Linked DNA regions of Drosophila melanogaster. Changing the gene in region 1 together with any one later gene gives a genetic interaction. Each region holds a gene or a part of one and is shown on either strand. Other genes may lie near its edges. The genes, in order: osk, Hrb27C, SmD3 and nanos.

What was found.
Region 2: of osk (region 1) and Hrb27C, changing one enhances a phenotype caused by changing the other (phenotypic enhancement), as found in Drosophila melanogaster (one study listed by BioGRID).
Region 3: of osk (region 1) and SmD3, changing one suppresses a phenotype caused by changing the other (phenotypic suppression), as found in Drosophila melanogaster (one study listed by BioGRID).
Region 4: of osk (region 1) and nanos, changing one suppresses a phenotype caused by changing the other (phenotypic suppression), as found in Drosophila melanogaster (2 studies listed by BioGRID).

Annotation. Positions count from the first base shown.
Region 1 is NT_033777.3:8,931,964-8,940,767, forward strand, and holds osk (oskar), read left to right. Parts: upstream 1-3,162; 5' UTR 3,163-3,182; coding exon 3,183-3,717; intron 3,718-3,752; exon of another isoform or gene 3,753-3,836; intron 3,837-3,965; coding exon 3,966-4,383; intron 4,384-4,478; coding exon 4,479-5,243; intron 5,244-5,301; coding exon 5,302-5,404; 3' UTR 5,405-6,432; downstream 6,433-8,804. Other genes in the region: ScsbetaA (Succinyl-coenzyme A synthetase beta subunit, ADP-forming), read left to right, coding at 6,857-6,925, 7,706-7,809, 8,519-8,671, 8,736-8,804. UniProt on the Drosophila melanogaster protein: Organizes the germ plasm and directs localization of the posterior determinant nanos. Oskar protein is required to keep nanos (nos) RNA and staufen protein at the posterior pole.
Region 2 is NT_033779.5:6,916,700-6,924,902, forward strand, and holds the start of Hrb27C (heterogeneous nuclear ribonucleoprotein at 27C), read left to right. Parts: upstream 1-4,004; 5' UTR 4,005-4,162; intron 4,163-4,266; exon of another isoform or gene 4,267-4,374; intron 4,375-4,560; exon of another isoform or gene 4,561-4,741; intron 4,742-4,939; exon of another isoform or gene 4,940-5,099; intron 5,100-6,031; exon of another isoform or gene 6,032-6,035; 5' UTR 6,036-6,127; intron 6,128-7,084; 5' UTR 7,085-7,206; coding exon 7,207-7,701; intron 7,702-7,985; coding exon 7,986-8,203. Other genes in the region: x16 splicing factor, read right to left, coding at 2,825-3,243; nop5, read right to left, coding at 199-463, 642-1,912. UniProt on the Drosophila melanogaster protein: This protein is a component of ribonucleosomes. Could be needed to organize a concentration gradient of a dorsalizing morphogen (Dm) originating in the germinal vesicle.
Region 3 is NT_033778.4:12,165,477-12,172,272, forward strand, and holds SmD3 (small ribonucleoprotein particle protein SmD3), read left to right. Parts: upstream 1-3,254; 5' UTR 3,255-3,400; coding exon 3,401-3,719; intron 3,720-4,081; exon of another isoform or gene 4,082-4,248; coding exon 4,249-4,385; 3' UTR 4,386-4,527; downstream 4,528-6,796. Other genes in the region: CG34232 (uncharacterized protein), read right to left, coding at 1-35.
Region 4 is NT_033777.3:19,153,423-19,161,811, reverse strand, and holds nanos (nanos), read right to left. Parts: upstream 4,575-8,389; 5' UTR 4,312-4,574; coding exon 3,840-4,311; intron 3,297-3,839; coding exon 2,827-3,296; intron 2,754-2,826; coding exon 2,490-2,753; 3' UTR 2,203-2,489; coding exon of another isoform or gene 2,107-2,202; 3' UTR 1,610-2,106; downstream 1-1,609. Other genes in the region: CG42359 (uncharacterized protein), read left to right, coding at 62-460; Nsun5 (Nop2/Sun-like domain containing protein 5), read left to right, coding at 1-22, 588-1,085, 1,149-1,579; CG11779 (uncharacterized protein), read left to right, coding at 2,107-2,202, 5,266-5,346, 5,410-5,947, 6,015-6,679; CG5835 (uncharacterized protein), read left to right, coding at 8,350-8,389. UniProt on the Drosophila melanogaster protein: Maternal RNA-binding protein that is required for germ cells proliferation and self-renewal. Acts by forming a complex with pum and brat that regulates translation and mRNA stability.

The DNA.
Region 1 (8,804 bases):
ACCTGTTTCTGGCGGGGAAATGTGCAAGCAGTATAGCTAAAAATTGATGAACTGCGTGAAACTGACCTATGTTTGGTTAAGGTTTGGTGATGTGTTTTGTTTTTATTTTTTATATCTGTTGTTGAATATTTTTTTGTCGTCCTTGGATGGGCCATTAATAAATTCACTTCGTCTGTCTATTTGGATTTCGTTCTAGCCTTTAAGCTCTTAACTGCTAACGAATCGCCATTACTAGCGAGTAACAACAAAATGGTTCATCAATAAGTTATCGATAACTTAAGTCGCACATCCGTTATTGAATAGGAATTTAAAATTTTACACCTTCAACATTAAATCTTTTTTTTAAATAAAGTCTTTTCTACAGGGCAAGCAACGTCTCGTTGACAGAAGCGTTTCCAAGCTGATCGTTGTTTGTATTTGTAAATTGTGTTTGTATTGACATTGCCTTTGACCTTTGCTAAAATATTAAAACCCTTAAATAAACAGTAAATCAAATAAATGTGATTTAAATTGTAATGAAGTATTATTCTAAAAAAATGTAAGATACATTTTTAAAACTTTAAAAAATAAACACTTAAGGTGCACGCAGGCATTCATTATTTTTGAAAATAAATATCCAAAGTGACTGGCAGCCTTCCGTCAAGACAGCTTCGAAATTACCATATCGTGTGGGCATAATGAGGACTTTCTTGGGGTTCAAAAACCGGAATCGGAAGCAGTCTTACGGTCTGCGACACCTAGCCTTGATTAATTGCCAACCGGCCACACACTCAGCCAGATGCTTAGCCGTTTATCTCGAGTGTTTTGCCATTTTACAATCTGTTGGCCAACCTGTAACCGGTCATCATAAAGGAGTTAGCCATGCACTGTCCAAAAATTGATTGTAGACCAAGAACTTAATCTCGAATTAAGTTAACTTCATATTCCAATCATTCCAAACTATTACAAATCGAAATGGATTGATTGACTAGAACGATCTTTCCGTATATTTTATTTATTTTCCGTTTTATTTTTCCGTTTTTTTCTTCAGTGTGTTCCACATCCATAGAATTACAGCAGGGCTCTAATTACGTGTGTTTGAATTGCGGCGCCCTGATTAAGGCCCTTTTGCAGGGCAATCAATCGATTTGCTGCGGAGTAATAATAACAGATGTTAAGCCAGACTCTGGAAACGGATAAGGATAATTACTGGAAATTAGTGATGGAGCTGCCGCCGAAAGGCGATCAGATTCAGTTGCCATTGGGGTGAACTTCTGGTTAATCGTGTGCAACGCAATCAGCATTCCTGAGATTTTCCGCCTGTCAGCAGATTAACAGGTGTCTCTCCGCCCCACCAAAGTGAGGCAATAGCTAAATTGTTCGCATAAATTGATTACAATAATTTGCCTATCCCCCAACATTTAGCCGCCCTCTGCGAAATGAATTCGCTGCTGGTAAAAATTCTAAGACAGCAGACAGAATAACAACAAGTTGCTCCGTCGGCTTCCATAATTTATGCAGAAATGCAGTCGAACCCAATGAAAAGTGTCGTTCACAAATCTAGGCGGTAAATTGCTTTTTGCGATTTCCAATGCACACCCACCACACGCAAATGCAAAAGTTGTCAATCAAAAATGGTCGTCAATCATGGTAGTAGTTGTTAGAAAGGAAGAGAGTAGGAAAATGTCTTTAAAAATATTAAACAAATTTATTTTTCAGTGGTTACTTCCTACAATTACGCTTATAGAAATACAAGGAAGGTTGCCAAATACCATAAATATATGTATAATTCCTTACCTTACAATCGAGTGACCACTGTAATTCTTAGCTGGGAGTAGAGAGAATGAGAGAGGGCCTGGAATGCAAATTACTATTATTACCGGACAATTGCCCTGTGCTGTGCGAGTGCATTCAAAATATTTGAAACACCACCCGAAAAGGGAAAATTGAATGGCAAGAAAAGCCGGCTGATTCATCCCACTCTAAATTATTGGGCTTACACATTCAGCAAATAAAAATGGGAGAAGGGTCGAGATTTATAAATTGGACCACATGTTCTCGCCCAGTTTTTCTACATACATATAGTATTGTATTGCTCGTCACGTCTCTGCAGCATCCTCTGCAATTAAGGCAAGGCTAGGGAAAATATACAGTCCAACATCTATAAGGAAGTACTTCCCTAAATTACAGATAGGTTGTAGTGGCACTAACTATTGCCCATTCTATATATATTACCCTTTGAACCCATCAACACCTTATTGAAAATTATTTTTTTATTATTCTGATCTGCTAGTTAAGTAAAATTTTTACTGATTTAATTTTTGTAATTTCTTGCTGGTACGCATTACTGATGTTTGACTGTATCCAACTTGCTTAAGCTAAGAAGCCATAATCCTCCTTCCGATTGTCTGTGCTTCTTCCGGGGTGCCGGAATCATCACGAGATGTAAGAAAGCCCCTGAGTCATCCATCAATCGCTGGACTAACCCTCAGAGCAAGTGCCTCCATTACCCTTCTCGGAGTTTCAGGTGCACTTGCTGTATGGATGGATAATCATCTCCTGGGGAATTGCTGCCAAGCAGCTCCATTTGCCGATTAGCCGACAGACCACCAGAGCACCACCGCACGTGGTAACGCTCGTCGGCACCATTTGAGTTATTCTGGAATTTATGTATATGCTACTTCGTAATTGCTTATCAAGCAGCTCTGCAGACCCACTGGCGTGCTGTTTTCTAATCTGGACCAAGAGAAAGGCCATTAAAACGAATGTCCAGCTGGAACGGAGTGCAAACTGCTTTGTGTAATGGTCGTCAAATGGCAATGCAGGTGGTAATTTCGTTTAATTGTTTTTACTGGCTACGTAGACTGCTTTGAATGTTAACCTAATGGTGGGCGAATGGGAACAAATTGATAAAAAAATTAAAGAAAATGAATATATATATATATATATAGGTTCTATATTAGGTTCTGAAAACAGTTTTTTATTTTTTCAAAATTTTTTGGTTGTACCACCCTAATGTATTTTCACAAATTCTGTTGATCTGGAAACATTATCTCTGCAAACTGCTCACCGTTACTTCTGTTGCGCCTGCTCTTTCGCCTTCCAGTACGAAAAGCACCGTAAGTCTCCAAAATGCAGATGAATGGAGAAGTGGACCGCGTTGGCGAGGGATCCAAGAATATTGGATCACTTTCCTCCAAGCGATGGCCGCAGTCACAAGTGAATTCCCCAGCAAACCGATCAGTTATACCAGCACCAATACTTCCGCCAAAACCTATTATCTTAAGTCCGTGAAAAAGCGGGTGACCACGTGTTTCCAGCAGTTGCGCGATAAACTCCAGTCATCCGGTTCCTTTCGCAAGAGTTCCTCCAGCTGCCTCAACCAGATCTTCGTAAGGTCCGATTTCTCCGCATGCGGCGAACGCTTTCGGAAGATCTTCAAATCGGCGCGAAAAACCGAATTGCCGGAGTTGTGGAAGGTGCCATTGGTGGCCCATGAACTCACCAGCCGGCAGAGCAGCCAGCAGTTGCAAGTCGTAGCCAGACTCTTCTCGTCCACTCAGATTTCCACCAAGGAAATCACCTACAACAGCAACAGCAACACCAGCGAGAACAACATGACCATCATCGAGAGCAACTATATATCCGTGCGCGAGGAATATCCCGATATAGATAGTGAGGTGCGCGCCATATTGCTGAGCCACGCCCAGAATGGAATCACGATATCGAGCATCAAGAGTGAGTAGCTTTATGTTTGAAAGCTTTCTTCTTTCCAGAAGTTTCGACTTCATCAAACACTTCAGAACTTTCTCTAAGTGGCTATATTTAGTTAGAAATCTAAAATGTATAAATTTTTAGTAGGTTATTAAATTTTATTTGGATTATATAACTTTTATAGTTTAGTATATTTATTTTAATTTATATTTTTTCTATGTTTCTTTTTTGTAAGATTACCCTTAAATAATTCTATAATTGAAATTCGCCAGGTGAATATCGAAAACTGACGGGCAATCCATTTCCACTGCACGACAACGTGACGGATTTCCTGCTGACCATTCCCAATGTGACCGCTGAGTGCAGCGAGTCCGGTAAGCGGATCTTCAACCTGAAAGCGAGCCTGAAGAACGGTCACCTCCTGGATATGGTGCTCAACCAGAAAGAGCGCACCAGCGACTACAGCAGCGGAGCTCCGTCCCTGGAGAACATACCACGAGCACCTCCACGCTACTGGAAGAATCCCTTCAAACGGAGGGCTCTGTCCCAGCTGAACACCAGCCCGAGGACCGTGCCCAAGATAACGGATGAAAAGACCAAGGATATCGCCACCAGGCCGGTTTCGCTGCATCAAATGGCCAATGAGGCAGCGGAGTCGAACTGGTGCTACCAGGATAATTGGAAGCATCTGTGAGTACTGAAAAGGTGTTTTGTAGACAGTGCAACTATAGCAAAAATAAACCTTTACTTAACAAAATGTACTAATCTTTCTACTGAACTCCTAGCAACAATTTCTACCAGCAAGCCAGCGTAAATGCGCCAAAAATGCCAGTACCCATCAACATCTACAGCCCCGATGCCCCAGAGGAACCAATCAATTTGGCTCCACCTGGGCATCAGCCAAGCTGCAGAACCCAAAGCCAGAAAACCGAACCGACTGAAAACCGCCATTTGGGCATCTTTGTGCATCCATTTAACGGCATGAACATAATGAAGAGACGCCACGAAATGACGCCCACGCCAACGATTTTAACCAGTGGAACCTACAACGATTCTCTGCTGACGATTAACTCGGATTACGATGCCTATCTGCTGGACTTTCCGCTTATGGGCGATGATTTTATGCTATATCTCGCCCGAATGGAGCTAAAATGCCGATTTAGGCGTCACGAACGCGTCCTGCAGTCAGGACTTTGTGTATCCGGACTGACGATCAATGGCGCCCGAAATCGTTTAAAAAGAGTCCAATTACCCGAGGGTACTCAGATCATCGTCAATATCGGATCGGTGGACATTATGCGCGGCAAGCCTTTGGTTCAGATCGAGCACGATTTTCGGCTACTGATCAAGGAGATGCACAATATGCGATTGGTGCCGATTCTAACAAATCTTGCACCGCTGGGCAACTATTGTCACGATAAGGTATTATGTGACAAAATCTACCGATTCAACAAGTTTATCCGAAGCGAATGCTGTCACCTAAAGGTCATCGACATACACTCCTGTCTAATCAACGAAAGGGGCGTGGTGCGATTTGATTGCTTTCAGGCGTAAGACTTTATACCATATACCATATCATATGAGTTTACGATTTGTGCCACTTTTCAGCTCACCACGCCAAGTCACCGGTTCCAAGGAACCCTATCTGTTCTGGAACAAAATCGGTCGGCAGCGCGTACTGCAAGTTATTGAAACGAGTCTGGAGTATTAAGTTGGGTTCTTAATCAAGATACATATATGCAAATTTTGACTGGGCTGGCACCGGAACCGACAAAATAAGAACTTTTTGATGATTTTACGATTTACGCTGATGGATCGCTGCTTTTACGGAATTCGCTTAGTTTTAATATGTTTTATATGTAGTATGTTCTCTGTCTTTGTTTATTTATATGTTCGTGCACTTGTCCTAGTCCATTATTGTATATTATTGTGTGTTTTGTGTTCTATGTTAGATTTAAACTTCTCAATTTTTCGCTGTCTGTGATTTGTTTTGCCAATGCCATTGATTTTCTGCACACTTTTTGCTGCTATCCCAAAAGCTGTGTAAAATAATCAAATGCAAAATAAGCGCAAGCAGCTGAAAACTTCTCTTCAAACTTTTCCGCTTTTCCCAAAACCATTTTGCTTTGAAATCTGTTTTTACCAAATCAGATTAAACTGCAAAATGGAACTTAAATGCAAATCATTGCAATGCTTATAAACTGTTTTTTGTTCTATATACTTTTGTGTGGGTCAAAATTCGGCATGCTCCTGTATCACACAACCTGCCACTTGCCCTTAAAAAGAAGGGCGCAGTGGGCGTGGTACGTATACATATGAGCCATGCTGCATTTTGGCCGTAATGAAAATGCACTGCTTTACTTGGAAAATTCGCTTGCACAAAATCAACGCCGCGGCTGATTTATTATTGATGTGCTCAAGCAAATTCAAGTGAAGCATTTGCGCGATTTTCGTCTTTCTGTTTCCGTTTGCAAAAAAGTTTATAAAATGCTTACACTCTGCTGCAGACACGCCAACCGGAAGTGCGCACTAAGCGCTTGTTTGTAGCACAGTGTAGAATTCTGGCGTAATTTACAGCTCTACTTTAAAGTCTTCTAGATAGCTATCTACTATTTATAAACTTATTTATTGTCTTGAATGTATGTTAATTGTATGTATTGATGGTGATCACGTTTTTTTTGTCCTATAACAAGCTGCAATGTAAAATCCAAAAAAAAAATGAAAAAATAAAATAAAAGGGAAATCAATGATTTTGTTTGCTCTAAGCTATGTTCAAAGTAACTGGGAACTAATCGAACTAATTTCGATTTAAAAGTGGTCTAGATTATATTGTGACATTTGTGAATATATTATTATATTTGCGAATTTATTATTATCATAAAAATAACGGTAGTTGAAAAATAATTTAGATGGCATGCAATATTAAAAGTTCCCGCCAAATTGGCTTGAATCTTTGCTAATATATTACAGTTTCCAACCTTGCATTAAGTTCACGATAGTTTTTCGGCATTTTCGATTGTAAAAGCATAAAAAAGTCCCTGCTATCGAAGCTCTACCACCTCCATCAGCAGGCGACGGCAAAAAAATCTTGAAATGTAAGCAGTAACGTCAAAATTCGCTTTCAAATCGTTAAACGTACGTTCTCATTCGATTTCAGAACAAAATGGCTTCATTCTTGGCACGAACTGGCGGCCCCCTGATCGAAACCGTTAGGCCAGCGGCCATAAAAAAGGTGAGTTCGCCAATTAGTAGTCATATTTGTGTGTAAAAAATGCGAAAATCCGTCGCTTTACATAATAAGGCGAAAAGAGAGAGTGAACACCTACGCTGTCCCCTTCTCTGTCTCTCACTTACTCACACATGTGAAATGCTGATCGTTTATCGGTACAAAAAAAAAACTTAAGCGATAATTTAAGTTCTTTGCCATTTGTTAACTAATTGTTTCTCCAGAGAAACGGGGAGAGTGTGAGATTTAAAGAGAGTCACGATCACCAAAGACACCTGACTTTTTTATTGTGTCAGTGTGACGCAACTGTGCGCTTTTCGTACGCATGTGTGTGTGTGGGGACCTTGAAAGCCCCATTTATTCCCCCACTTAATTTAGTTTGTTTTTTATCAATGAGCAGCTGACAACTGTTGCTTATCGTTTGTGGTTGTTGTTGCTGTTGTCGCCGGGCCCTCTAATTAAATTCTTAATCTGTGAATTAGTTTCGGTTATCACCGGGAAACGCCGTTAGCCGGACGAACTTGCTCTTAACCCAGATTTCGTTTCTTTTCGCCGCTTTTTGTTTATGTTTTTTTCACATGAATCACCGAACCAGTTTTTTTATGTTTAATTTTTGCTTGACAATGACCTCGTGACTGGAATTAAGATTTCATTTATAAGTACAATAAGTTTCGAAATCGTTTTTATTTTCATCCTTTTAAATATATTTTTAATTATTTTTCTTGTTATCTTTAATTAGCATCTAATTTTCGCAAATTAACATGGCAAAAATTCCAACCTTTTCAGATTCTTGGCCTGGCTCCCATCGCCGTCCAGCAGCTGAGGAACCTCAATGTCCAGGAACACGTTTCCTACAGTCTGCTCAATGAGGCCAAGATCCCAACACCTCGGTGAGTAAACCCAATCGGAATTATCAAAATCGCGGGCAAACAACCAACAATTTGCGTCAAAGTCGCAGTCCAAAGTTCAATGAAAGTGCCGCGTTGTCGTTGCGTCGTCTGTTTCCTTTGGCTTATGTGCGTTTTGGACTTTGCCTGAACTTAATAATATGCATTGAGTATAGCCGACTACGGGGTAAACAAACCAGAGAAACGCAGCCGCCGATGATAAGGGTGATAACAAGTTTTATACTATAACACACTTTGATCGGCGTAAAGTGACAAGGGTCAGTGACGTGGGCTTTGATAAGATGGAAGCGGCATTAGTTGACGTCTATCATAATTAAACTAACTAAATATACATAAACTTTGGGTAAAGAAAATATATTTTAATGTTTAAAATACCTGTAATTTAAATTTAAGCAATTGCAAAGCTAGAATATTTTGATTTCCATTTCGTTTGATAAATTGAGATTATTAGAATCAAAAGATAGTAGTTGCTTTTGCTATTATTCAGGTAAAATCAGGCGACTGATTTATTTTCTAAATGAGGGCTTGTCATCTCTCGAATGACCGAATAACCTTGTCTCAACTTTCAACCTTTGTGGTCTACTGATAACACGATTTACGTGAAATGTTCCTATCAACAATCAATCAGGAACATCGTAAAGAGCGCACCCCCAAAATTATTTCGCGTACTGAGTGATTCATTTTTTTGCAGTTTCGCTGTTGCCAAGAACGGCAAGGAGGCCAACGATATCGCCACCAAGCTGAAGACCGATAACCTGGTGCTGAAGGCTCAGGTTTTGGCCGGAGGACGAGGCAAAGGAACCTTTAAGAATGGCCTGAAGGGAGGTGTGCGAGTGGTCTACGAGTAAGTTGTGATATATGTCTAATATCTGTGTGGTAAAACATAAAAAACAAATCTTACTCCGCAGTCCCCAGACCGCTGAAGAACTTTCAAGCAAAATGATCGATCAGCTTCTGGTCACCAAGCAAACCGGAGC
Region 2 (8,203 bases), on another chromosome or scaffold:
CTTTCTTAAGAATTAAGTATATCAAAACCAATACGAATAACATATTAACATTTGTATTTTGTTATGCAAATATTACATTTTATTTCTAATGTACACCGGAAACTTTAATCGTTTTGGTAATTATAAAATCCTATACTTTACAGTAAGGTAACCTATGATGCTAAAACTTAAGGCCTACTAACTAGTCAAGGTGGGAAATTACTCCTGGTGCTTTGACTTTTTCTTTTTCTTTGCTGGTGTTGGCTGATCCTCGGGCTCTGGTGCTGCCGCCTCCTCAACGGCCTCCACCTCTTCGTCCTTCTGCTTCTTCTTCTTTTTCTTCTTCTTCTCGGACTTGACCTCCGCCTCCTCCTCAGCAGGTTCCTCCTTCTTAACAGGCGTCTGCTGTTCGGACTCGGAGTGCTTGCGCTTCTTCTTCACGTTCAAGGTGTTGTCGGCCTCTGGTTGGTAGGTGAACACCTCGCTAAAAAGTTAAGAAATAAATTAAATACACTGAACAATCGAGAGATAGCCTGATTGTAAACCCAATTTCGCTCAGACAGCCAAGGTTTATCGTCATCTTAATCGGATACATGCGAAACCTTTTGGGTATCATCACTGGAAATCTGTTTACTCTTATATAATTGACAGCTAAAACATACCTCTTGGCCTGGTACTTCTCGAACTTGGCCTTGGCCTTGCCGGTGCCGGAGAGTTTGCGCAGGTTGCCCTCCTCCAGGAGTCGCAGCCGAGACTCCAGTTTAACCTTGTGAGCCGCTCCTAGCTCAAAGGTAGCCTCTTCGCCAAAGGCATCAACACGCGTGGCAAGCGACGCTTTGGCGGCCAGTGAACGCGACATTTTGCCCTTGTTCTTCTGGCTTGCCTGTCCCACCAACTGGGCGTGATAGATCAAACCGTACTTTGGAGTATCCTTCTTGGTCTTCAGCGCACGGAAGAGTGCTTTCTCGGCGCCCAGAATTTGTACAGTAGATGAGGGATGCTTGGCCAGGTTAATCAGCGAGCCAGCATGGGCAATCAGTCGAGCGCCGACGGTGTCGCCCACGAGCACTGTCAAATTCGGAGCCATGGCCATCATTCTGGCCTTCAAGTAGTCGTACAAGTGGGTGCGGTAATCGTTGATCGATATGATCTCGTCGCACAGACACTGAATGTTCAGCACATCCTCCTCGGAGATTTCGGTACCCATAGAGATCTCAGCTGCCTCCTTGACCTTTTCCTCCACATCTTCTGGCAGAATGTCGGACAGATCGCTTGTGGCCATATTATCCCTGGTGCCCACCAACTTGATGGTCTTCACGAAGGCAATGTTGTCGGTAATAATCTTGCCCAGCTCGGGAAAGTGCCAACCGTACCACTCGCGTGCACGCATCATGTAGTTGTTCAACTCCTTGTCCAGGTCATCCAGCAAGCACTGGGCCTGCACAATCATTGTGTCGATCTTGTCGGGCGAGAACTTAAGCTTGTAGCGCGACAAGGAGTGGGCAAGACCCAGGGCCATGGCGGTCATCTCACGCTTGGGCAGACCACCAAGCAGACTGTCCGCCTGCTGGCGAATACAGCGCATCAGCTCCTGGACGCCAGTGTTGCAGACACACTGTACCGACAGTTTGTCCTTGATGGCTGTGCCCAGTTTGGCATCGGCAACCAAGAGCGAAGACTGCACGTCGTCAACGAGCAGCTTCTTGAGTGTCTTTTTCAGCGGCTTGGCTACCTTGCCCTCCACCGCCGCCGTTGCAGCGGCCAGCGCCTCTGTGGTGTCATTGAATTTCTCAAAGTGCTTCAGCTTCAGCAGCTTGTTGGCCTTCTCCGGAGTCTCAAACTCCTGGTACAGATTGTCCACCTGCTCCAGTTTCTTTTCGTCCAGCAGCTTGAAAATCGCGTAGCCCGCCGGCGTTTCGTAGAGCACAAACATCGCGTTACGCTCTGCTCATTTAGTTTCAATTTTAATTCAATTTAAAACCACCGAAACTCTCGGCAGCCAGCAGCAACTTAACCTTCTTTTCCGTATGCCGCGTGTAAAAGAAAAATCCAAAATGAAGTGCAAGCACGTGTGCCTTCGGTCTACGGCGTTGCCACTTGGTTCGCGCATAACAGCACCACTGTAATTAATTCACCACGAACGTAAAAGCGCGGGGAAAATAGCGTAGGAGGGTGTCTTGCAGCCGCCTGCTACCCTTTTGTTTACCACTTATTTTAATTTGTCTATTTCTAATCAAATCAATCAAACTTTAATATCAATATTAAATATATTAGAGGACTTCGCTAAATCATTGTCACGTAACTATTTGTAAGCTTTTGTGCAATTTACGGACAAATTCTTGTGCTCAAGAGTATAAAATATATATATTTTATATATTTATTAATCACGAAAGTGTTTACATTTTTACAATATATTAGACTTATAATAGTCTATATAATAGACTTAAAAACAAAATTCTGTTATTACTATCTGAATAGATAACTACTGTTGTCAAGCATGATTTTGTTAGACAATTGTAGAAGCTATATACTTCTCATATCGATATTAATGGGTATGCCACCCGAGCACGTGTGCGTGCTGTTATGGTACAGAACTACTTCATGCGCTGGGATTAACAGCACTCATTGCGCATAACAGCACGCTGTTAGTTTTAACAGGCGACAGAGGTGCCCAAACAAACTCAACATTTTTGCATGCGCATACACACAAGCATGCATGTATGTATGTATGCGTTTGTTTGTATGTATGCCTTTCTCTCGCCATGTTACAAAAAGCAAGAAGTTTTTGGCAACGACAATGAATGAAAAATTGAAATGGCGAATTGCAAATGCGAATTGCGCTTACCTGCGTCGCTGCCTGGCCTTCCTTTCGCGACAGTGGCGAGCGAAATGCCCCCGTCCGCCGCACTCGTAGCACTTATCGTCCCCACGACCACCGCCGCCTCGGTCGCGTCCTCCGAGTCCTCCACCACCACCGCCTCCACCACCTCCGCCACCACCACCGCCGGACCTAGCATACTTTCCGGTGGACAATTCCACACGGGCTCGGCGCCCGCAAACCGTCCGTCCGTCCAATCCGCGCACCGCATCCGCCGCATCGCGGGCACTCTCAAACTCCACGAAGGCGAAGCCCGGCGGATTGCGGGCTATCCAGACGCTGCGCAAACTGCCGTACGCTCCAAATACATACTCCAGGTCGTTCTTCCGGGCATTGTTGCCCAGATCGCCCACGTACACCTTTCTATCGCTCGGATGGCGCGACATTTCTGTTTATTTCGCTTTTCCCCGGGCCCAAATTAATGTGGCAGCAGCGCAGAAAAAAATCGATGATGGGTTGGAATCACTTGCCACCGCCTTCCTGGGCACTTTGGTCGGTCAATCGCGCACTGGCGAACACTTTTAGTCACTTAACACGGTCGGCAGATGCGAATTTTTGTGTTTATTTTCTATTTAATGCAGCGCAAAACTCATTTTACCGGGTAGCAAACAGAGTGACCGTGGACAGACCATTAAAAGAAACTGCGGACTCGCTAAAAATATACCAAAAGTTATGCTCAATCCGCGGGTAACGGTCAGCAAAAGGCGGGAGTGTCTGGCAACAATAACTTCCAGGGCCGAAAAATGAAAATCTAAATATTTCCTTTTCAACTCCTACGAAAAAAATACTCAAAATTATTTTTTCCTTTCAAAACATTCCATCCGCCTAAAGAAAGCGACTATAAAACCTTTTTTAGTATAGTACATACAAATCATATACACACATCTTATTACATTTTTCACCTTTAAGATATTATTGTACTGCACAATTACATTTTAATGTAAATAATTTATAATACATTTTTTTAACCAGTCCCCTTTAACTTCCTTTATATTTAGCCTTCGTGTTAAAAGATAGATATAAATTCGTAATTTAAATTTGTTTTCTAGTATCTGTTAGATTCAGAATATATGTGGAGTATGTTTTAGTATATTCCGTGCAACTTGAGGTATTTTTTTTGGCTGGCGGCGGTCACACAGCATTAAACGTGGCGGCGATTTATCATATAAGTTAGGTTATAATATCGTATGCATCAAAATCATACAATTATTTATAAGCTAGTTTTTTAAGGAAAAAACACTTAAATTTAGTGAATTTGCAGTGCGAAATCTTTAAAAAACCACAGACGAACACTTGGCACAAACGGTAAGAACGAAAAGCGACCGAAAATCGCATTTACATAACAATTACAGTGCTTTAACAAAATGCCTGCCTAGCCTTTCCTTTCCAAAAAAAACGCCTGAATACTTGACGCAGCTGCCATTGCTCGGTGTGCGCGTGTGTTTGTGTGTGGGGTAAAATTGGCTCGATTCGTTCGAATCGTTTCTTCGCCTTTTCGGATTTCTCGACAAACAGAGGTTTGTGCAATTTTCAGCGATTTTTCGTGCCACTTTCGGCACTCTATTTCCACCCATCAAAGTGGAAAATTTCATATTTTTATACATACATACGAAAAAATGCTATGTATAACACCACACCAACGATCACGCACACCATTGCACAGCGCTCGGCGGCCATTCGCGCACACACACGCTCTCACGCGCACACACGTACGGCCAACTCATGCACTCACACACGCCAGCAGATTGCGGTGCAAAATACAAAAATCGTGCGAAATTCGTAAAATTGCGTATTAGAAATCTTGGTTAATTTCGCTCCTATTTCTCCGGCCCGAAAGCCCAAGTGTCAAAAGTGTACCCGGCGTGAAAGTGCATTCGTGAATTAGTGAGTGCCCCATCGATTAAACCGCCTGGCTGGCCAAACAAAACGAAAAGCGTAAAAATACAGTGAAATGCGTTTGTTCCCTTTTCTAAGAACTGAGACCCAAGACATTTCTTGAGACTTCTTTGTTGTATCATTTTTCATAAGGCACGTCTTCCATTTTGTTTTTTTTTCTTCGTTGCCTTTGCCGTGGTGAATTTCCCACACACTGCCAGTGCGATTCATTCAGTTCAGTCGTGAGTACTCAGCCAGCAACAACAATAAAACATTAATCGTTTAAAGCTGGAGGAAAACTCGAAAAAGAATTGTTTGTTTTTTCTTTCGATGGAATTAACATTTATTTTGAGGGCATTGGTTTTTGGTACGTTTGCTTTTCGCTTTCCATTCGCGTTCACGTCACACATGGCGTTGCCACATGTTTTTTCACTTGTTAATGGGCAAAATGTCTGCGAAGTGCTGCCAGTAAAGAAAACGGGATTTTCTTGATAACAAAGTGAATTTAAACCCGTTGTTCATTGGCGTTTGCACAAAAATTTAAATATACTCCTGTAGATGTTTACTTGGCCCACATCTGGCTGTAATCTGTAATACCCTGGCAAATGGCGCGCAAATGTGGTGAACCGGCGACAGCTCTCTTTTCACCTTGGAAATACATAAGTTCGTTGTTCTCATTGATAGGCGGCATGTGTGCTGGTGTGTGAGTGAGGCTGGGGATTTGTTACAACAACAACAACAACAACCATTCCGCTCGTGACACAGCGAAAAGAAAACAATACTTTCACGTAGCCGTTCAAAAACGAGTGAAAGGGGATGAGAGTAGTGTTGGGGTGTCGAAGGAGGAGCAAACTTGTGAACGTGTACAAAAAGCAGTTAGACGACAAACACACATACACGTGTACGGCGGAATCTCTTCAGCTGCGTGTGTTTGTGTGTATGTGTACCGGCCGGTTGCTTCTGCCGCTTTTTTCTCTTTTTTTTTTTTGTTCCTACCTGTGCCTTTCATAATAACTATGCGTGAATTTTTTGTCATCTGACCATTTCTACCCATTCGCACCAAAGATCTTTACACAGCAAGAAATATTGTCTCCGAAGGAAATGTAAATTTAAAAAAATTTCAACCATAGCCCTGGCCTTTAATTTTAATAACGTCAGTTTGCAAATAACCAAATTAACTATTCCACCTTGTTTTTTCCTGTGTAGCAATTCGATTAACCGGATTTCTTATATTCTATGTGTATCTTTCCATGTGCCTGCAACAAAAACAAACCGACGACATCGATATTGTTACGATAGAAAGTTACGTGTGAACGTCGTGGCTTTTGTTTAATTGTTTTGAAGGAAAAAAGAACTTTGGCAACGTTGAAACCAACCTAAGATATTGCCCAAAAAGTAAGATATTGCCCAAAAGTAATTGCGGATTTTTCATATAGTCGGCGTTGACAAATTTTTTCAACGGCTTGTAACTCTGTAATTGCATTCTTTCTTTGGTCAGTTATCAGCTGTTACTTTTAGCTTCCATTAGAAAAAAAAGTGCGCGAAATTTTGTTTTTATTTGTTTGTTTGGCGTCAATTTTAATATGGAGCCCACAAAGGAGCATTTTCGTCATATCTTACTTTATTATTTCCGTAAAGGAAAAAACGCGGAGAAGGTTGCTAGAAAGTTACGAGAGATACGATGGTATGGTGATGAAGCCTTAAAAGGAAGACAGTGTCAAAATTGGTTTCGCAAATTCCGTTCTGGAGATTTTTCACTTAGAGATGAGCCACGTTCAGGCCAAATGAAGTTGATGATGACCAAATCAAAGCATTATTATTTATCGAATTAGATCGTCATGTAACTTGAGCGTGAGATAGGAGAGAAGTTAAATATACCAAAAATCAACCGTTCATTATAAAAAGTCTTGGACTGGTGAAAAAGCTTGATATTTGGGTACCACATGTATTGAAAGAAATTCATTTAACACACCGAATCAACGCTTGTGATAAGCACCTTAAACGCAATGAATTCGATCCGTTTCACTTCAATGGCTGATATCCACCAAAAGAAGGTTATGCTGTCTGTTTGGTGGTATTGGAAGGGTGTCGTATATTTTTAGCTGCTTCCAAGGAACCAAACGATTAATTCGGATGTTCGCCAGAAAGATGGCAAAAGATTATCGAACAATATATTTGATTAAAGTTCATTCGAAGTTTTATTAAAAATGCATTTACTTTCATTTACAAAATCCGCAATTACTTTTTGGACAACCCATACATAAAATACATACAAACATAAATACATAAAAAAAAACACAAAAAAAAAATACCAGCAGCAGTGTAAAAATTGTATATTCTCCCCCAAAACAGGCAACCAACCGAACACAAGTTAATTTCTTTGCACCCCGTGTTAATAAAAAAGCGGCAAGATTACGTCAATTATTGAGAACCTACCCGGCGCCATAGCTCACAACCACAACCAAAACAACATCATGGAGGAAGACGAGAGGGGCAAACTTTTTGTGGGCGGTCTATCCTGGGAGACGACGCAGGAGAACCTGTCGCGCTACTTCTGCCGCTTCGGGGACATCATTGACTGTGTGGTGATGAAGAACAACGAGAGCGGCAGGTCGCGCGGCTTTGGCTTCGTTACCTTCGCCGATCCCACCAACGTCAACCACGTGCTGCAGAACGGACCGCACACGCTCGACGGTCGCACCATCGACCCCAAGCCGTGCAATCCGCGCACTCTGCAGAAACCGAAGAAGGGCGGCGGCTACAAGGTCTTCCTGGGTGGCCTGCCCTCGAACGTCACCGAGACCGATCTGCGGACCTTCTTTAACCGCTACGGCAAGGTCACCGAGGTGGTTATCATGTACGACCAGGAGAAGAAGAAGTCCCGCGGCTTCGGCTTTCTCTCCTTCGAGGAGGAGTCCTCCGTTGAGCACGTGACCAACGAGCGGTACATCAATCTGAATGGCAAGCAGGTATGTGATCGCTGGAAAGTTGTGCTATACTTACAAAACATAATTACCTATTTCTGCGAAGCATCTAGTCTTGCAAAACTATAAATTGTGAATATGGAATATTCATAATTTTTTTCGATTTACTAAACTTTGTTTCATATAATACAAGAGTGCTATTTGTAACAAAACATATTGGAAATAATTTTTACTTAAAAACGCTCAAAAGAATACACTAACAATTAATTGTACAAAGAATATAAGTTAACATTTTTGGCAACAGCACTAATAATCATTATTATCCCCAGGTCGAAATCAAGAAGGCCGAGCCTCGTGATGGATCTGGCGGCCAAAACTCCAACAACAGTACCGTGGGAGGCGCCTATGGCAAGCTTGGTAACGAGTGCAGCCACTGGGGACCGCACCATGCTCCCATCAACATGATGCAGGGCCAGAATGGCCAGATGGGTGGACCGCCGCTGAATATGCCCATTGGAGCGCCGAATATGATGCCTGGCTATCAGGG
Region 3 (6,796 bases), on another chromosome or scaffold:
GTGGCAAAAACGATAATCTGCAGCGGGCCAAACATCCGGAGTAATCAAGGTGAATCGATGGGTATTGATAGTAAATTAAATTGAAGCCACTTTCATATCTGAACCGGCGATTAGATTAGGTCCGCCCCTTGGAACCACACACTCACCGCCTTCAACATGATAGCTTCGGTATAGGATATGGACTTCAATGCCTTCTTCTTCTTCTGTTTCTGCGATGCAAAGCTCTCGGATCGTGTAAACCCGGCGACGCTCCAGTCTCGACTGTTTTTCGGAGACTCTTCCGCCGCCGTTTATATCGTTATCTCCTCATGCGAGTGCCCACAGCCCACAGCCCCTGGCCACCATATCACATAGATGGGGTATATATGTAAATATATTCGGCATGTTTTATCGTTCATTTAATGGGCAGACAGACAGACGCACAGTGGAGTGAACAGCTGTTGAATGATTTTCGGGCCAAGATTAGCTGGGAAAGTACTCAAACCTCACAGTTCTTTTCAAAAATATTACCCAAAACTTTACAATTTAATCGGAAAGAGTAGTCAACTTGAGATACTATCTATCAGGCTCATCAAATCATAGATACAGATACAAAGCATAACTCTCTGTAAGTTACTATATATGGATTGGTTAATATTCTTTAGAAATGTAGCTATGCTTTTGAATCATTGAAGCCAAAAGTGCAATAATTACATTTAAAGCTTAATGTGATCATGACACTTTGATTTTTAAACTGGCTCTTCATTTCAATGAATGACTGCTGAAATCCAATTGATATTGGCGATGATGTCAAATCTCACGCTTTTTTTTATTAATTTAGGAGCCCCCGTTTTTCCAATAACTACTTATCTTCAAGTGACAAACTGTGCAGACTTATCTCTAACAATCGTATTGGGTCACTTTTTAAACAGTAGACGAAATACATATAAAATCTCTCTTATCTGCGAAAGGAAGGTGAGGCAATTGGGTGTATAAATTTAATCATAAGTCTCGACCAAGTTCCACTCGAGATACTTTCAATAAACAATAATAATGCGCACTAAACGCGAGCGTCGTAAACGAAATAATTTAATAATCCGGCCGACAATTCAATAATTTTGTTAAGTCATATGTTTTATTATTGGAATCAAGAAAATGATACATACAAAGTGGTATAAATAAAAGAACTGCTTTCGCTTGCTTGCTTGCGGTGTGGAATCTATTGATTAATAAGTTTATTAATATTGGATATAGCGTGTATGTGGATCCTTTTTGCTGATCTATGTAATTAGCTTCTATGCATATGCGTTTCCCTTTCTATCCTTCAAAACTTCTACCTCGCCGTTCTCGTCGCTTTCGGCGTACAAAAAGTGAATAAAAATATATTGAATATTTTTAAGTGCGAACAAATTGGGATTACAATACTTCATATATAAGCTTAAACATAAAATATATAGAAAAAACATGAAGAAAATATATATGTTGATTAGACATGAAAACATAAATAAAAAATATTGATTCACGAATAAACTTAGGATTAATACATTCCTTTGTTTTGTTTTGTTTTTTTTTTGACATTTTTTAGTTTTCTACTTTTTTTTACGTTTTCGTTCGATTTTTGTTGTTGTTGGATATAGTTTAATATAGTAATTTGCGATCAGGCTCTTAACGTGGCTGGCCATAATTGAAAGTCTACCAAAAATGAAGCCGCTCCGAAGACAATTTTCAAAACGATTTTCGACTACATAAACAACGCGAAGATTCAAAAAGGATTGATTTGCTGATTTTCACTGAACACATATTGAGCTCAATATGTCATTGTATCTACGGCTGGCTAATAAAAGTTATTTGCGGAAACTACGAAACAGAATATTGGATTGCTACTGATATTACTTCTTCTTTGTTTCGTTTCTGTGGCGAAAATCGTCCCCTTGCCGACGAACTACTCCTCGATGCTGTAGAGGAAGTAGTAGTTCTCGTTGTCGTTAATGGCAGCCGGCGGTGCCTGCGGTGCCTTCCTGGACAGCGGCTCGAAGCCCATGAAGAGGAACGCCTCGATGAGGCGAGCTCGATCCGGCTGATCTTTAGGCATTACCATAACGATGCCGTCCACCTCCAGCTTCTCCTCGGCGAACTCCAGAAGCGAGATGAAGGTCTGCTTGGAGCCGGCCGGAGGAAGGTCCTTCGGTAGAGCGACATACAACAAGTTGTTGACTGGGTTCAGAATCGTATTCCAATTGGTGTACTGGTCCTCGGTGACATGCAGCTTGATGGTGATCTGCACCGGCTGGTCGTGCTGCAAGATCTGGCGCAGCACTTCCTGGCAGTCATCGTCCGAGCACAGCGAGTGGATGTCGGGCTGCGACTCCAAGTCGGAGCAATCCGACTGGGAGGACGACAACGACGACGCCCGGGAGCTGGCCTCGTACAGGCTGCCACCAGCCGAGTCGACCGAAGACTTACGGCTGTAGCCTACACGGAAGGAATTAACACATTTTAGCATAATAAGTACTTAAATGGTTAGTTATTATTACTCACCCGTCAAGAGCGATGCCCTATCGTGATCTGTTCTGTGGTGGACAGGGACATCAGGACCACCACAGAGGCCCTACGCCGAGAGAGATGCGGTAGGACTCCGAGGACATGGTCGTGGCGCAAGACGAAGTCGAGATGGTGCGGAGCTTGCCGTCGGCAATTCCGCTGTCATTAAATTCTCTTCTAACGAAGCCACTACTAAACACTGGGTCGCTGTGGAAAAAAAATTGGGTATTTAGTCAAAAAAACCCCATATCGAACTGCGATGTGCCTGTTCGATTTTGTAGCGCAACTCCATCTGTTGGAAAGTTTATATCCCCTTTTTAATGGCAAGCATATAGCGAATATTCCCATGTTTTTATAAAGATTATTTCCCATTTACAAATTACTTATGTGAATTATGAATTGAATTTATAAACCCGAAATCTTTACCACAACATGGTGTAGAGTAAAACTCAATTGGTAACTGAACGTCGCAAAAGCTGCTAACAAACTGATGGCCACGAAGGCAGAACGAAAGGCTTATCAGCGAAGCGGCGACAATTTAATTATTTCGCTTTTATGACGCTAACAAATTGCAGTTGTTTATTTTAAAGCGATAAGATACGCCCGCGCGCCTTATCGGCAAACCGATAAGCTGTTTCCGATAGTCACGCAGCGCATGCAGCCCTGCGCTCACGCACCACCAATTTCACCACAAGATGGCCGCCGGCAGCTGTCAAAGCGGGAGCGAGCACGCAAACACATACACTCGCAAACACTCGGCATAAACGCTTGCACAAAGAAAAACGGAGAAAAAATTTAGCGGTTTCGGTGGAAAAAAAAACAGTGAAAAATATATAGTTGAACGAACAAGAACAGACAGCAACACACCAAGCTAGCGAACATGTCTATCGGAGTGCCCATTAAAGTTCTGCACGAGGCCGAGGGCCACATAATCACTTGCGAAACCATCACCGGCGAGGTGTACCGCGGCAAACTCATCGAGGCGGAGGACAACATGAACTGCCAAATGACCCAGATCACGGTGACCTACCGAGACGGACGCACCGCCAACCTGGAGAACGTCTACATTCGCGGCTCCAAGATCCGATTCCTTATACTGCCCGACATGCTGAAAAATGCCCCGATGTTCAAGAAGCAGACGGGCAAGGGACTTGGTGGGACGGCGGGACGGGGCAAGGCGGCCATTCTGCGCGCACAGGGTGAGTTGGGCACTTTGGCCCACACACACACATACACATTCACTTTTTGCACGGACTGCCTTTAAAAACAAAATATTTTCTATGCTCTCGTTTAACTTCTAAATTTAACTAAAATATTTGCTATCCCAATTTAATAATCCAAATACCATACAATTTTTATGATAGTAAAAAAAATGGTAGTAAAATTTATAGAATTTAATATGTATAAATAGTGCTACAAAAAATATATTAATGCAGGGTTTAGTTTGTTTTAAAAACTGAGCTGATAGTTTTCGTCAAATCATATCCCTCCCATTTAATTCATTAATTTCAAAATTTAAAGTATTAACGTATGGGTAAAATAAGAAACATGCTAAGGTAGTAAGTTTGTGTATATGTTTATTTTTAGAAAGCAAAAACTAAAAAAAAAAATGTTATAAAGCCATGTGCAGTGAAATCTAGAAATGAATTTTGTTTTTAAAGACAGTCGTGCAGTGTATGTGAGGCCCTCAGCGAAATGCAATTATTAAAAACGACATTTCCCTTACAGCTCGTGGCAGAGGAAGAGGCGGACCTCCGGGCGGCGGAAGGGGCACTGGTGGACCGCCAGGAGCTCCCGGCGGCAGCGGCGGACGCGGAGCATGGCAGGGAGGACCAACCGGCGGTCGAGGACGCGGCGGCCTGTAGGAACTGCCTACTGAACAACGCATTTCTATTCTCTAAGTTGCGGGCATCATATTATTAGCGGGCGGGTCGAACTTCTCCAGATGTTTTTTGTAAAGTATTTATCGGGCAGAGCAGCCGAGAATACACTTGAAACTTGAATTTGAAAGAGGCAGACGTTGTTTGTTGTCTAAGTAAAGTAAGCACCTGAAAGGTGGGAAGGGATTAGACACCATAACCAGGGGGACGCTCACAAGTTTGGCTTAAAATTAAGCACTCCAATTCGATTCATTCGATCTTATAATCGTCGCCTTTCGAATGTTATACAAAGAGAGCAATTCCATGACAGTATTACAATCGGTCTTAACTTGACTGTCGACGGATAGCTCTCTTCATTTCACAATTCGCGGAGGATCTGAAAGCGGAAATCTAAGCTAACACCTCAACGGACAGGACACAGTGTTAGGCCAGACGAACTGAATGTGGAACTTGGGTTTAGTCGTTTGGTTAGTCTCATTGCCTCACAGCGCATCGTCGAATATTATACAAAGAGAGCAATTCCATGACAGTGATATTAAATAGTTTCTGGACTGTCGACGGACAGCTCTCTTTATTCACTTATTCGCATTTGGATTCGATTTGGTTCGTTCTAGGTGTTAATCAGACATTCAATGTGGACAGCACAGATACATACAGATACCTATATACTATATAAATGCTTTCCACACATTGTACATACATATGTACATTTGTGTATTGTTTGCCGGCAGACTACGTGCGAAATATGCCAGGCATTTTGTTGTTATGTTGGTTTCCTTTCTGCCAAGCCAATTAAATCAACAAACTGCGCACTTGGCAGAGCATTGTGAATTGAGCGAAATAGAGGCCTGAATGGGAACAGTGACCACCAGCAGCAGCAGATGGATTGGATGCATGTGGTTCAATGCCTAATGAATGCAATTTATGGCTGTGTCTGGGGGTGGGGGGGTTTGTTAGAGTAATAATTCCCCGAATCGATGGCACGTGTGCAAGGCAATTGAAAATGCTTTCGCAATTAATAAAAAAGATGGGGCTATGCTGACGTACCACAAGATTTTCTGGTTCTCGTTCTGAATCTTCTGGTTATCTGGCTGCGCCACCATATCGCTAGACGTCGTCATTGCCAAGTTAAATATTTGGTCTCCGGTTGAGATTTATCACAGCTGCAGTCTACTATCTGTCTCCTGGTATGTGCTCTTTATCTTTTATCACAGATTGCGTTGCTTCGGTCGGTCGGTCCTTCGGCGGAGCTTGGAACTCACATCGAAAAGATGTGGCGATTGGATATCTGTGTGTTATGTGGCGGCCCGGTTTCCGTGCCTCTCCTCCACTGGCGATGTGGAGACTGCTCGCTGATGATCTGTGTGGTGCTGTGCTCTGGGCGTTTGTCTGGCGACTGACGACATCCAAACGGTGGCGGCATCATTTATCTATCTGATTAAGTAGCAGCGACTAGGAGGCCTCACGATATATCTACATACACGTACATACATACATACAAATGTATAATAGCCTAGTTCTATCCGACAGATATGCAAATGTGCCGGAGAGCACGGGTACAGTCGACCCGGTCGGTCAGGGGATGTGGATCTGAATCGGGGTGCGGTGTGAGTCAGAGCCCCAAGGTTAAATGGAGCCCCCTACTTCCCACAAAATACGGGTGAATCGCTAAACAAATAAGGCGCAAATAACTATAAGCAAAAATGCCGGCACACGTAGCATTTGCATTCACAAAGTCGCAATGGGCAAACAAAATAAACGGAGAGAGCTGCCGGCTATAAATATCCATAAAAATTAATATACAAAGTCTAAGAGAAATTCTTTTTTTTTCTGTGGCGCTATTTCAGTCAAAAACATCACCACATTTTTTAGGCTGCACGTGTCTGCCGCTTTTTTTTCGAACAAATGTACCAAAACAAACGAAATAAATGGCTAAAAATGGCTAATAATATTGGCGATAAGTCCCATAAATAAAAGTCTGCTTAATATAAGCAGAGGTATGGACCTAAAGCGGGGTAGAAATCAACGTGAAGAGTTATCTTTATTCTTAATACATATGTATATGTATACAGGTACATACATACATACGTAGTATGTAAACGAACAGCAGAGGTCATCTCAATAACTACAAACGAATACTAATAAAAATACCATTTATCGACAATAAACTGGACTTTATAATTGCTGACGTAGGCTTCTTCGCTTTTTGCAGCTTTGATTGACAATCTTTCCATATGTTTCAGTCTAAACAAATAACAAATATCTGTAGCTCAATTAACAAAGTCAAAAAAAATTGTGTAAACAAGCTCTTTGATATTTTGGTATTTTCCAGGTAGTTTCCATAGAAAATGTATACAAATTTAGAACCAAAAGGATTTCATGTTAATGAAGTTAAA
Region 4 (8,389 bases), about 10 Mb from region 1:
GATTTCGGTGTCCAGCGAAAAGGCAGGTTATCACACCGATTACCAGTATTAGCCGGCTGAGATGGGCAAGAAGAACAGGAAACAACAGCATGTCGATGTGGTGCCAGCTACCACTGATGATTCCCCGGCTGTCATTGATTCTCCCGTGGAGCATCATACGCAGCAGGAGGACACCAGTGCGGAGGTCTTCCTCTGGCTGTTGGCCTACAGTGTGCTCATGTTCACGCTGCCCTTCTTGGGCTTCTATGGCGTCCGCAGCTGGCTGCAGGAGTCCTTCCCCCATTTGGACCTTTTCACGGTCAACTGTTGGTCAGTTCTCACGGCTGTTGTGGTTGTTAACCTCGTGGTGGCCATGTATGTATTAAAGGCTTTCCGCGAGAAGCCCCCACCACCCTTGGAACCCGTGCAGCAGGATGAGGACGACGAGCCGGAAGCTGCGGAGCCAAAGAAAGAACAGTAACTTAAGTGCTGCCAGCCAAGTCCAGATTATTTCGATCGTTTAAAGGACCAGTAACGACTCTTAACAACTCTTAATAAATCTTACTTTGGCTACAATTTTGAACTCGTCTTTTTGTTTGCCCACACAGAACCCAATCCTCGATATGTGCGCATCAACACAAATCTATACAGCTTGGCGGAGGCCTTGGACTACCTGCATAAAAGCGACTGGCGGCGCAAGGAGCTGCCTGCGGACGCCAGCTATGCGGATTTTCTGACTGCCATCAAATCGCTGGCGGAGAACGAGTTCATGACCGATCTGCACGTTGAGGGTGTGCTCATTTTTCCTGCCAAGTGGTCCAACTACTGGGTCCGCCATCCGTTGGTGCACAGCAAGAGGTTTATACTGCAGAACAAGGCCACCTGTTTGGCCGCCGAACTACTTGCTCCGCCGTCTGGGGCCACTGTGCTGGATATGTGCGCAGCTCCCGGTATGAAGACAGTGCACATATGCAATGTGATGCAGAACAAGGGATGCATCTACTCCGTGGAGCAGGACCACGTACGCTACAATACGCTGTGCGAAATAACAAAGGATGCTGGTTGCGATATTGTAAAACCCATTTTGGGAGACGCCTTGAACCTAAGTGAGTTTTATATTTATATATTTCACAATGAATATTTAAAAAAGTAACACGTTTGAATTTCAGCACCCGAACGCTTTCCGGACGTAGAGTACATCCTGGTGGACCCTAGTTGCTCTGGCAGCGGAATGCAAAACCGCATGACCGTGTGCGACGAGCCGAAGGAGGACAAGCGGCTGCAAAAGCTGCAGGGTTTGCAAATTAAGATCCTGTCGCACGCGATGGGCGCCTTTCCGAACGTCAAACGCATTGCCTACTGCACGTGTTCGCTGTGGAAGGAGGAAAACGAGCAGGTGGTGCAGCGTTGTCTTCAGCTAAATCCATCCTTCAAGCTGCTCAGCTGCAAGAAGGCCTTGCGCAACAAGTGGCACAATGTGGGCGACAAGGACTATCCCAATATTGGCAAGAACGTCCTGTATTGCCAGCCGGACAGTGATCTTACCGATGGCATCTTCCTGGCCCTTTTCGAGAAACGCCGCGAGGGCGAAAAGGATTAGTTGTTTCAAACGCAAGAAGGACATTTGTTTCCTTAAATTGTAACCATTTCTTTATTTGGCACTCGAGCCATTGAATTTTTCATTTTCAGAATATGTGTACACATTTTTTAAAAAAATAAAAAAATTATATAATGCTGGCGGTTGTTTCATGTGTGAAAAATTGATCAATGGTAAACAAAATTGAATAAATATATAACATATATATATATATATATATATATATATATATATATATATATAGATATGTGTGTTGAAATGAATACTTGCGATACATGTAATAAAAATACTCTTCGCTTATCTATCAAAAAGTGCGGAATGTCAAAATTTAAAATTTTACAATGAATGCGTAGCCGACGACGAAAGTGTTCCTTGCTATTTCCTTTAGCAAGATTTAAATTTAGATTAAATTCTAATGATACGATTGACAGTTCGAAATTCAAAGTGTTCCTTTTTCAAAATTTAGTAAAGATTGTAGATCAATTGTAGATATATCGAAATTTTTCGGCCGCAAGCGAACATTTTACGAAATGAAGGCGACCAGTTGCAGACCAATTCCATTCATCAACTTTCGGATTGTAAGATATTTCTATCGGCCACGACGATTGAACAAGTATTACGATATTGTAAGTCTTCTTTAACAAAATTAGTTTCCCTTTCACAGAAACAGACATAAATTCTTGAATTATTGACTTGGATTTGAGTGATCGTTCGTTGTCTATACTATAAGATCTATAGGCACGGGATAACGCTCTAAATCTCTTTAAAATCGAACGCGCCAGGCGCTATTTAAACGTTACTATCTATCTATCTGGTTAACCCAGCTTTGATCGGAATGCGTATATATATTTCATGTTATATAAACGCTGCAAAAGCTGCCAGAGCCTCTGCTCCAGAGCTGGATTCGCCCTCTCTAAACCTTCATCTGTTGCTTGTAGTAACTGCTCTTGGCTAGGCGGAACGATTCCGCCTTGATCGCATCCTCCATGGTGATGATCGGCTTCTTGGGGCAGTACTTAATCGTGTGCGCCGAGTCCCCAGATGCCCCGCAGATGGGGCACACGTAGGTGCGTAGTTTGGGGCACAGCACTCGGTTAAAGTTATCTCGCACTGAGTGGCTATTGATAACCGCCTCTGGTTCGTTGTTATTCTCACAAAAGACGCAGTGGCGGCTGATCTGTTGGAGAAACAAGATAACAAATATATTTTGCAAGTTTTAATTCTGCGAATCCTGGATCAGATCCACTCACCTCTTTGGCCTTGCTGTTGTAACGCTTGTACACCTTGTTGTTGTTGTTATTATTGTTACTGGAATTGGAAGCTCCGCGCAGCTGTTCGCCCTGCACGGGCAATCCCAGACCCATTCCCACGCCGAGATTGGTGGACACAGTGGCCGCTGTTTGGGCCTGCAAACCCATTGTATTGGGAGCGGCTGGTATATACGACATGTTTCGCCACACGTTGTTCAGATGCTCCCGGTAGTTGTTCAGCCAGTGGGTGGCGAGTGGAATGGGCATTAAGTTGCCGCCATTGGTCTGCAGCTGGGCAGGATTGCGGCCCAGTGGCAGGTGCAGCCCCTGCTGTTGCTGATGCTGCTGCTGCGGTGGCATTTGCACCTGTGGCGGAGCACTCCCGTAGGACATGCGACCGAGATCATCGCTGGCATAGCCATTGGTCGCGAACTCCTGCATCACATCCTGCATCGAGCCAGCCGCATTTTCTGGGAATAGCAAGCTTTTCATTACCTTGTCCTGAACGTATTTTTTTTATTATTCGCGTTTCAATTGCATTTCAGAAATGTAATAAGCAAATACGGATTAGTTTTTGCATACAAAAAAAAAACAAGAACAGACGAGAAAAAGCAAAGAACTTCTAGAAAATGTAAGACGCAAAATGGCTTTCCGAAGTTAAAACAAAAAGGAATAGCGAAAATGCTAAGGTCAATGGCCGAAAATTCAGGGGCGCTCGAAAAACCTCTTGAAGGGGATACAAGTGTTGGGCAAAGATATATTTTAAAGCACATACAAAATAGTAAAATAAAAAATATACTACACTAAATGGCGAAAATCCTCTGACCTCTGCAGCAATTATACATTTACACAATTTTACTTCTGTTTTGCTCTGTGCTTTCGTTGCCCCTTTAACTAAGCCCATGGCCATTGACTTTGGCATAACTGTACTTGTACAGATAGTCATCTCGCTCCCGCGCACTGTTTTTGGCTATTCTGTTTTAAACGACGCCATATTCGCCATTTCTTCTTACCTGCTGCGCCCGTCGTCACCTGCGCAAAGATTTTCAAGGATCGCGCAATCTCGTCCGTTTGCTGGTGACTCGCACTAGCCGCTGCCGCTGATGCAGCCAGCGCCAATTGGTGCTGCGCCATGGCCAGTTGCTGCTGCTGCTGGAGCAGCAAGTGGTAGTGGTACTGTCGCTGCATAAGGAGCGAATTGGCGGTGGCTGCGCTGTCGGCCAGAAAAGGGAAGTGCGTCGACTGCGCAGACGTCGACGGGTCAGGGGTCACCGGCGTAATGGGCGGACTCAAAGTGGCCGACGAGTTGGCCCCACTGGTATCCAAATACATGTCCTGCAGGCCCAGAATGTTGAGCCCTCCTCTGGCGTGAAAAGCAGAAAAGTTATCCTGCAATTGGAAAATCTTTCCAGACTGAGCCAACGAGGGGGGATTTGCAACACCTACTGCTGCTGCGCCACTGCCCTCCAAGTTGCTGCGGAACATGGCGAAAATCCGGGTCGAAAGTTACGGTTATCGCGCACTCTACTTTCCACAAATCCTCACCCAAAAACCAAGCACAGTTTATTCAACTGAAGTATTCGCGATACTTCTTTATCTAATAATAATGTACATGTAACTAAACTCGCTTTTGGGTTAAAATCGTGACGCAGAGGCAAAAAAAATCGTATGTCCCTTAGACAACTTGAAACAACTGCGAAGCGTACGGCAATTCCAGGAATTTTGTGGTAAAGCTACGCGCCAACTAACGGTTCTTGCTTAGAGGTGGAATAATGTAGTTTTCCAGCGATAATAAATATATCGATATTTTTAGTAAAATTGAAAAGGTAAACTTAATTTTAGAAAATAATTTATAAGAAATTTAATAGTATGCAAAATAATTTTTACTTGCTAAGAATATGTGCCACTAATTAAAAGCTGGACACCGCGCAATGGAAAATAGTACTACAACACAGCAACAAAGCCTGAGTTATCAACAAAAAAATACGAAAACATCTCCCAAAACTAAGCACCCACACGCGCCACTCGCCGTCACAACACAATCACTGCACACCACCATTCGAATTTCGCGCACTGTGACAACATCACATGATATCGGCGCGGCAACATCGGATTACCGACAAAACGAACTATCGCACGAGCCACCGCCGGCGAAGAGCGCTCGTTTTGCAACACCGGCGCGCGCTGAACGAAGAGAACAGCTGACTGCTTGATACGTGCGTGTTTCGCGGCAGGAATTACATAAAGTTTAGAGCCTCTGACGCCAGACCCCCCGAACATTCGCTCCGATCAAACTACCTGCGAACGGTCACCTAATCCCCACCATGGTAGGTTACCTCTGATCCCGGTCATCACTGGCGTTCGCTCACATCCGTCCTTACATGTGCATATTTCGAGGTTAAAACGGTCGAAGCTTTCAATGATTTTTTCTCCTTGCAGTACAGAATAGCTGCCCTTGTGCGGGATCGCGCCTGTCTCTTCACGTGCCAGCAGGCCTCGCAGAACCTGCAGCAGCAGCAGGTTAGAGTTTGGCTCATAAAACCCCATGGCGCAACCGGCCTAAGTCATGACTTTACTCCGCAGCCCCGCTTTTATAGTGCGCCAGGTCGCAGGGCCGGCTTCTTCTCGCAGTTCTTCGACAACATGAAGGCGGAGATGGATAAGAACAAGGAGATCAAGGACAATATCCGAAAGTTCCGTGAGGAGGCCCAGAAGCTGGAAGAATCGGATGCCCTGAAATCGGCGCGGCAAAAGTTTAACATTGTCGAATCGGAGGCGCAAAAGTCGTCTAGCATGCTAAAGGAGCAGCTGGGCGCCATCAAGGAGCGCGTAGGCGATGTTCTGGAGGACGCCAGCAAATCCCACCTGGCCAAAAAGGTTACCGAGGAGCTCTCGAAGAAGGCTAGGGGGGTCAGCGACACGATCTCCGACACCAGTGGCAAGCTGGGCCAGACCAGCGCATTCCAGGCTATCTCTAACACGACGACGACCATCAAGAAGGAGATGGACAGCGCGAGCATAGAGAATCGTGTCTATCGTGCTCCTGCCAAGTTGCGAAAGCGCGTCCAGCTCGTCATGAGCGATAGTGATCGCGTTGTGGAGCCCAACACGGAAGCCACTGGTGAGTCTCCATCTTTTTCCTTCAATAAGATCAAAGGTCATGGCCATAATGTAATGTTACTTTTCAGGTATGGAGCTGCACAAGGACTCCAAGTTCTACGAGTCGTGGGAGAACTTCAAGAACAACAATACCTACGTGAACAAGGTGCTTGACTGGAAGGTTAAATACGACGAGTCCGAGAACCCTGTTATTCGTGCCTCCCGCCTGCTGACCGATAAAGTGTCCGACGTCATGGGTGGACTCTTTTCAAAGACAGAGCTTTCGGAAACGATGACGGAGCTGGTGAAAATCGATCCGAGCTTTGATCAGAAGGATTTCCTCCGCGATTGCGAAACGGACATCATTCCAAATATTCTGGAATCGATTGTCCGTGGGGATCTGGAGATTCTGAAGGATTGGTGCTTTGAGAGCACTTTCAATATTATCGCAAATCCCATTAAGGAGGCTAAGAAGGCCGGCGTGTACCTGGACTCCAAGATCCTCGACATCGAGAACATTGAACTGGCAATGGGCAAGGTTATGGAGCAGGGCCCGGTACTGATTATCACGTTCCAAGCCCAGCAGATTATGTGCGTGCGGGACCAGAAGAGTCAGGTCGTCGAGGGAGATCCGGAGAAGGTGATGCGGGTTCACTACGTCTGGGTGCTGTGCCGCGACCGCAACGAACTCAACCCCAAGGCTGCCTGGCGGCTGATGGAGCTGTCCGCCAACAGCTCAGAGCAATTTGTTTAGCGCGCTGCCACGCCTTTCTTTTTTACCGAGCCGTTTAAGTTTCCCTCATTTTCTCATCCAAAAAACAAACGAAAAGATTACTGGACACTGAGCATTGACGACGAACTGACCACGAACTCGACCCGCAGGAATCTATTAAGTGTGTACAAAGGTTTCGCTTTCGATTGCTTTGAAAGTTTTGTCCGCCACTAGTCAACTGCGTCCGCCCGGCAGGGGCTGCTGGTCGGTCCCGTGAACGATTCCCCCACGAATTCCGGGCACAGCAGACTGCCGGCTCCGGCGCGGCTCATATCCCAAATGACGCCCCGGTTGGCCGTTCCTTGCGGCCACGCCCACCGCCGATCCACTTCCGGCTAGCACGGAAGGAGTGTTCGGTGCGGGGATTGGCCGTCGGGATCGTGGTTCCTCCGCTGGTGTCCTGGCCAAATCTATAACGTTGAAGCTTAAAGTGCAACCGCCGGTGTATAAGGCGTATAAGTAGTGACCATAAGCAAATTGTTGAGTGTAGTTGAGTTTAGGTATTTTAAGGCCCCAACCCTTTCCGACACCCCCCCCCCTCCCAATCCCCACCCCCTTCTCTTGTAAATATGGAATTCGCTCAGGGCGGCTTGGGCATCGTAAATTGACTGTACACACAGAATCCAAAGAGTTGTATGTACGTACACATCGAGCGCCACTCAGAATGTCTAGAAAAATAAAAATACTTCAATATTTTTACATGTACCATTTAAGCAGCTGGCGAATTCTTGTGAAATAAGTGTTATGTTTCCTTACCCTAATCACAGACATCCAAGTTTATGGTTGCCCCATGGATCGGGCATCCGTAAGCGCCACTTGCTACTAAGTGGGCAAAATAAAAAAAATCCAATACTTTTACATAATCCATTCGATTGGGTGTTTTTAAAACATGGAATGCTTTATTTTCCGATGACAGTTGTAAAACATTTTAATTTTACCTTGGTTAATAAGTAGTATAAACTTGCTGTTTTGAGGGAGAAAATAGTTTGTTGCTCAAATAAAAATGTTTGCAAATACCTAAGTAGTCATTGTTTTCTATGCATGTGATTCATGTATCTCAAAAACTTGAAAAATATTTTGATGTTTGTGACAAAAACAGTGATTATAAATTAGAGACATTTTTATTTGATGAATAATTAGCATAAAAAAGCCTATAAGTATTTGATTTTTTAATTCACAGAATTCATTCATGACCCACTTCGTTATTCAAAATAGCACATATCAGGAATAAAATGTACTGAATAATAATAATAATTTATACCTTTAACAATCGGTTAACGAGCAAGGTGGTAAAATCCGAGCAAAGTTAAGAATGCTAAGTAATTTCTTCGTTTCGAATACCCCCAACAGTAAGTCAATGTTACTGCCTCGATCGGTTAACAGAGAGTTAACAGAGTTGGGGTTAACTCGGCTGGCTCTCAGCTTGAGTTTGTCATTCCGCACGGAAAGCTCGTCGCGAACGCACGTAAAACTGGCAAGGCGGAGAAATATAACAAACATTTACAATTTGGCCCGCAGAATAAGCCGAACGAGCGCTTAATCATCGAAAAGTATCCAGCGATCGAGTGGCGCGTAACCTGTGCGTGAGTGATAAGGAGCTAATTGATAAAGGAAGTGACGACGGTGCCCGCATATCTACATAAATTCGCAATATGATGGCACTGCGGAAAACTTTGGTCTTCAACAGTGCGC